Callithrix jacchus: one gene and its partner. The protein of the gene in region 1 interacts with the protein of each later gene in a pairwise test. Links are inferred from orthologs where the notes say so. Each region holds a gene or a part of one and is shown on either strand. Other genes may lie near its edges.

Region 1 (3,654 bases):
AGACTTCCCATATGCTTTGGAAGAGGTAAATGTATCAAATACTTTGGAAACACCGTTACTTAGTAAAGCAAAGTATAAATTACTATTCAATTCACTTTACTATTTCTTTTAAAAGCACTTTATATATTTAAATATAGTACATATTAAAATGATAAATCTTGTTTATATCACTGCTTCATAAGGAAATAAGTTAAATTACTGAACTACTTTAGGGGCTAAGAAACTCTCAGTCCAACCTCAACCTCTAAGGCTTAGAGCACAACAGGAAAGCAAAGCTGGAACTCAAGCCATGATTTTAACAACCAAATATGAATAAATAGCACATAAATAAAACATGGAAAACCCTAAGTGGAAGGACTCTGAGGCAAATAACAGAACATGTTTACAAGGATATATACATAAAGCAAGGAGTAAACAGATCTTGAAGGGAAAAGAAGGTAATATATAAATTAAAACCTTACAGGTTAAAGAAGTATGCCAAGAGGAAGTTTCCTCAGGCAGAGGAAATATGGAAGAGATTGGATACAGTATGTAAAAATAAATGCAATGCTTGAAAAAGCCTGAGTTTGAAGAAAACAATTCAGGAAATAAAGCTAGGTCTGCAGAGAGTTCAGATCTGCAAGCTAAAGAATTTGGACTTGAGTAGGTGATAGAGCTACAAACAAGTTTTTGTTAACGAAGTAAAGTAGGATTTGCACTTTATAAAGCTACCTGATAGCAATGTAGAAGACAGAGAAAGGAAGAAAGAGGTTGAGAAAGAGAGATCTATCAGAGCAGTCGAAATGAAACAATTTTTTAAAAGTGACCTATGGGCCAGGCGCGGTGGCTCAAGCCTGTAATCCCAGCACTTTGGGAGGCCGAGGCGGGTGGATCATGAGGTCAAGAGATCGAGACCATCCTGGTCAACATGGTGAAACCCTGTCTCTACTAAAAATTAGCTGGGTGTGGTGGCGCGTGCCTGTAATCCCAGCTACTCATGAGGCTGTGGAAGGAGAATTGCCTGAACCCAGGAGGTGGAAGTTGCCGTGAGCCGAGATCATGCCATTGCATTCCAGCCCGGGTAACAAGAGCGAAACTCCGTCTCATATTAAAAAAAAAAAAAAAAAAAAAAAAAAGTGACCTACGGCAATCAGAGTAATTACGTAAATAGAGTAACAGAGCGATATAGGGAATGGTTATCAGGATAAAAGGAGACACAGAGAAAAACTCCAAAGGCTGTGACTTGGTGGTTAACTATATGAATGTTCCTTGGATGTCTCAGTGTAACACCATCGTTTTATGAACCTATCATTCTATGATACCATCACCAATTTAGTTAAACACCAGGCTTTCATGCTTAGCAGAAAGGGCAAGCCTAAACATTTTATCAATGTACAGGTGGTAACATCAGTATGGATATGATCATCCAAGTGTTAGTGTGTACAGAAAATAAAGGTAACAAGGTCAGAACTGAGGAACTACATTTAAAAAAGAAGAAGAAAAATAATTGTGGGAACGAACAAAGAACAGCTATAAAGTTAGGAAGAAAAGAGGGTAATATCTTAGAAGTAAAGAGAAGAAAAACTTTCTAAGTTAAATAAATTAAAAAAAAAAAAAGAATGCTCATTATATTCCAATGGCTTAGAATAGGTATCAACAAACTTTTTTTTTTTTTTTGAGACAGGGTTTCATTCTGTCATACTGGCTGGAGTGCAATGGCACGATCTCAGCTTGCTGCAACCTCTGCCTCCCAGGTTCAAGTGATTCTCCCACCTCAGCCTCCCAGGTAGCTGGAACTACAGGTGTGTGTCACCACACTGGGCTAATTTTTGCGTTTTCAGTAGAGACAGGGTTTCACCACACTGGCCAGGCTGGTCTACAACTCCTGACCTCAAGTGATCTGCCTACCTCAGCTTCCCAGAGTGCTGGGATTACAGGTATGAGCCACCGCACCTGGCTGGCAAACTGTTTCTTAAAGGGTCAGATACTAATAACTTCAGTCCAGTCTCTGTTGTAACTATTAAACTCAGCCACTGTAGCTGGAAAGCGAAATGAAAAATATTTATTCCATTCAACAATTACAAGGTCATCGGCAACTCTGCCATGCCACATCAGTGCCATGATAGGTGATTAAAATTATTAGCAGTGAGGGATCATCAATGAATGGAAGGATAAATAGAAGGATACATACATGAGCATTAATCATAGAATCTAGATGGTAGGAATATGAGTGTTCACTGTGTAATTATTTTGACTTTATGCGTTTAAAAATATTCATGTCAGGAAAACAGCATCTATATATTCAATTAAACTAGGATATTAACATTCTATTAATTCAGTTTTCACTATTACATCTGACAAAATAATCCTACCACAAGGAAGAAAACCATTTCAAAATTTAGTTTCAAGAGAGTATGCTCATGTGTTAACGTTGCAAAACCACTAAAATGGTTAGGGACTCATACGTAACAAAGTCTTTCAAAAGCAGCCATCTTACCTGATTTGCTACTACGGCATCCTGTGGATCATCTGGTTCTGCAGCTGCCAATAGTGCTTGCAATGACAATAGTACCGTGCGGAGAGTCATTGCAGCTGCCCTAAAACCCAAAATATAAAAATATCCCAATTAAGAAAGCTCTGCAGGCAAAAGCATTTTCTTAATAAAAAAATCAGTAGAGCTAAAAGTTACTTAGATCTTTATCGTAATTATATAGTCAAATCACAGAAATCTGTAATTATGTATCTGCCAATCATATATTTTCTTCCTTAACAATCTGCTATTTCCTTTTTTTTTTAAAAGACAGGGTCTTTGTTGCTTAGGCTGGAGTGGAGTGACACCATCTTGTCTCACTGCAACCTCCACCTCCAGAGCTCATGCAATTCTCCTGCCTTAGCCTCCTGAGTAGCTGGACTGGAAGCACACACTGCCACACCCAGCTAATTTTTTTTTTTTTTTTGGGGTAAAGACAGGATTTTGCTATGTTGCCTAGGCTGGTGTCAAACTTCTCAGGTGATCCGCCCACCTTGGCCTCCCAAAGTTCAGGAATTACAGGTGTGAGCCACTATACTCAGCCGGCTTTTCTAAGACAACTCAAATAATCTCATCCTGAACTGTCTTATTTTTGTTTTCTCTTATTGTTGCCAATATCCTTCTTGTTAATTTTATCCACTAATTTTCTATCCATTTCTCTAAACATAAAGTGATAAAAAATTAGTGCTAATAGCCTGTGAGATTTTCTTTCAATGGCACTCTAAAAACAAATACTATGAAGCAAATATATTTTCAAGAAAACAAGAAATTATTTCACAACATTCTGAAATAGGCAGTTTTTTCTGCTTAAACTACATCACTTAATTTATGCTTCTAAATGTATTTATAAAGAAAATATCTTTATAAAGCTAATATTTATCTAAAAAATATTATCTACCTATCTAGCAAGAATTCTTGGCATTTCTGTTAAAAAGCTGTTTCACTGGCTGGGTGCAGTGCCTCATGTCTATGTAATCCCAGCACTTTGGGAGGCCGAGGCGAGCACATCATCTGAGGTCAGGAGTTCAAGAGCAGTCTGGCCAACATGGTGAAACCCCATCTCTACTAAAAATACAAAAATTAGCTGGTTGTGGTGGCATCCGCCTGTAATCCCAGCTACTTAGGAGGTTGAAGCAGGAGAATCG
Region 2 (3,246 bases), on another chromosome or scaffold:
CTCCCCCTACCCATACCCCTCCTGTGTGTGGTTGGAAAACATTTTTGTTTTTTGGGTTTTTTTTTTTTTTTTTTTTTTCTGAATAAAAAAGATTCTACTAATAAGGTGCTGTGTGATTTGAGCTTGGGTGTCAGAATGGGATAGGCACTGTGACTTGTTTCCTTTAAAAGCGGCTTGGGAGCAGGAAGGTTGAAGCACTACAAGGTGCAGGGATTTAAGCTTCTGGCCAGGTGGCCCTGCCCCTCCACAGTGGCATTTCTAAGCCTAAGTCCTCAGTATGCTCGTCAAATTGGTGGGTAATGGAATAGGGCCATCTGGATCAGAAAATGGGTCCAGGCCTGCAGGCAAGGCAGGGCCAGTTGAGTCATCCTTGTGGGTGGGGCTCCCCTTCTGAGTCATAGCAAATGCCTGTGGGGCTGTCCCCATGACGATAGGTTAGTGTCTCCCAGCATTCCCTTGCTCTTTACGGCTAAAGGGGTGATTACCCCAAAGGGTTAAGTTCACCGGTGTGAGAATGATCTCACCCTTCCTTAGTCCACAAAAACAATTTTATTAGCCCAAGAAGTGAAGACCCAGTCCCTTTGCTTGTCCCAGCCCACCCCAAGGCTCCTGAAAAGGATAGGTCTGGGTAAGGGAGAAGCTTGGGATGGAAATGTCCCCTATCCCTCAACTTAGAAAACTGGAGGGAAGAAAATGTGCAAATAGGTTACCAGTGTGTGTGGTGGGGAGGACAGTTACTAGACCAGGATAATAGGAGAAGAGGAGGGAGGAGAGGGTGGGGGATCTGTTGAAGGCCCAGGAAAAACAAGGGGAGCTGGGGCTAGGGAACCAAAGGAAGTGGGAAGAGAGGGGCTGGAACCCAAAAGTGGGGTCCTTTCTGAGGCAGGGTGGTCCCTTGGCTCCCCTTCGTCATCACCCTCCTCTTGCCCCTGAGTTTCTTCCTCTTGCTCTTCATCCCCAGGACCCCGATGAACAGGCTGCTTGCAGATGGGGCAGGTCTTCCGGGTCTGAGTGAGCCAGGGGTCCACGCAGCGGCTGTGGTAGGCTGCAGAGAGGAACAAGGTGAAATGCCTAGAGGCTGCCAGTGGCATAGGGGCATGTGCAGACAGTGAAGGCCTCACCATGAGCACAAGGGAGTATCCGCAGCTTGTCCCCATCCTCATATTCGTCCAGGCATATGGCACACACATCATACTGGTCTCCTGGGACAGAAAGAAAGAAATCTAGTCCTTCACTGAGCCATCATGAACCAGGTCCCTTAATTCATTAGGGCTTTTAAAGCCTTGCAAAAATTTTCCCTTGCCTACAAAGCCAGTGGGAAAGCTGACAGGTGGGCAGGATAAGGTCAGGGCAGAACATGGAAGGATTTGGGGCTAGAAGGGACAAAGACAAGCAGAGGTAAGAAGGGAAGTGGGTTTCTGGGGAGGTATGAGGGTGGAGAGGGAGTGGAAAGAACGGAAATGGGCAGGGCTTCTGCCATAGCCTTATATGGGCACTGGAGGCCCCAGGGCCTAAAGCCCCAGCCCCTTGGTACCTGTTTTTTCCTTCTCTAACAGAATCCTCCCCATTTCTCCCATTTTTCTGCTCTACATCCCTTATCAGCAAAGTCTGTCCCTCTGTTGTTTCCCCAATTATTTCACTTAATCATCTTTGCTTGCCATCTCTATTCCATCTCCTCTCTCGTCTTCATTGTGAGTAAAAGGAGAAGAAAAGATGGCATCATAAGCTGAAACCTTCTCACTGCCATCTTTCTTTTTATTATTATTTTGAGACAGGGACTCCCTCTGTCACCCAGGCTGGAGCACAGTAGGGCAATCTCAGCTCCCTGCAACCTCTGCCTTCCTGGTTCAAATGATTCTCCTGTCTCAGCCTCTCAAGTAGCTGGGACTACAAGAGTACACCACACCCAGCCAATTTTTGTGTTTTTTATAGTCATGGGTATTGCCATGTTGCACAGGCTGGCCTGGAACTCCTGGGGTCAAGGGATCCACCCACCTCAACCTCCTAAAGTGCTGGGATTTTTTTGTTTCATCATGTTGCCCAGGGTGGTCTCAAACTCCCAGGCTCAAGTGATCTGCCCATCTCGGCCTCCCAAAGTGAGCATTTAGGATTATGTGAGCCACTGTGCCCAGCCACTGCTATCTCTGTACACCCTATCTTCTGGGCTCAAAGTCCTTCAGAACCAGGTAAACAGTGGGAAAAGCTCTTTTCTCCCCTAAACCCCTCACCCTTCTGATAGTCGTGTGTAGGAATCTGTTTCAGTTGCTCTTTGGTAAGTCGATTCCTCTGGAGCCGTTTCCGGTGCTGGATACAACGAACTATCTGGGGGAAGGGGGAGTGGATGGACAAGGCTTAGGAACAAAACTAGACAATCCAGGACAAACCATTCCCAACTCCAGATCCAGTCTGGCCACATAGGCCTCAGTACTTCCCATTGTGTTCCCTCAGTTACTCACCATTACTGCTCCCATGGCCAAAACCAGCAGTCCCACAATCCCTGTGAAAGGGATGAGATAATAGCCCAAGGGGAAGGTATTGTCTGGAACCAGAAGCACACGAGCCCTGGGGAAAGGATGACCAGTCTTAGCAGGGCGAGAAAGGCAAAGGGAGGAAAAAAAAAGGGACGAAGTAAGTGGCTCTGTACAAAGCCCGTGGATAGGGAAGGGAATGGGAAGAAAGAGGCAGGGAAGGAAGGACAGGAGGCTGAATGGTTGAGGCAGTGAGGAGGCCTCGGCTCCAGGTTGGCATGGAACTTGCTTGTTGAAGGAAGAATGGGAAGGAGGCACATGTCCTACCCCTTTTCGTAGACAAAGAGGGCACGCAGGTACTCGGAGCTTCTCTCCCCAATAAATACAGATGGGATCCAGATCTGCTGCTGGATTTCCTCTGCAGGGATCAAGGTATTACTCTGGGGACACGAGCTTCTATTCAAATCCTTTGGGAACCCTGGCATTTGGCACTTTGGCCCCGCCCCATCTAAAGTATTGCCCTCTTTTCCTGAAACCTTCAGCCTTCCCACCATCTCTGTCTGTGTCCTACTGAAAGCCCAGCTGTCTAGATTGCCTCAGCCTTACCACTATTCCACACCATGTTCAGGAGTTCATTGGAATTCACATTGTGTACTACAGCGGCACCATATCCAGCCTTCTGGGCATTTAGGACCTAGGGAGACAAGGCAGAGGACAAGGAGCCATCATGGGCCTTAGCTGTCTCCATTACTGGTGCCTTTTGTACCCTCAGCTCCCC

Evidence for each region.
Region 2: the proteins of UBE2K (region 1) and RNF167 interact in binary tests that used the Homo sapiens proteins (3 or more experiments, as listed by UniProt). The link is inferred for Callithrix jacchus from reciprocal best matches to the Homo sapiens genes UBE2K and RNF167.

The regions. Positions count from the first base shown.
Region 1 is NC_133504.1:154,051,841-154,055,494, forward strand, and holds part of UBE2K (ubiquitin-conjugating enzyme E2 K), read right to left. Parts: intron 2,577-3,654; coding exon 2,477-2,576; intron 1-2,476. UniProt on the Homo sapiens protein: Accepts ubiquitin from the E1 complex and catalyzes its covalent attachment to other proteins. In vitro, in the presence or in the absence of BRCA1-BARD1 E3 ubiquitin-protein ligase complex, catalyzes the synthesis of 'Lys-48'-linked polyubiquitin chains.
Region 2 is NC_133506.1:106,512,117-106,515,362, reverse strand, and holds the end of RNF167 (E3 ubiquitin-protein ligase RNF167), read right to left. Parts: intron 3,163-3,246; coding exon 3,075-3,162; intron 2,887-3,074; coding exon 2,796-2,886; intron 2,563-2,795; coding exon 2,457-2,562; intron 2,323-2,456; coding exon 2,229-2,322; intron 1,203-2,228; coding exon 1,122-1,202; intron 1,046-1,121; coding exon 738-1,045; 3' UTR 531-737; downstream 1-530.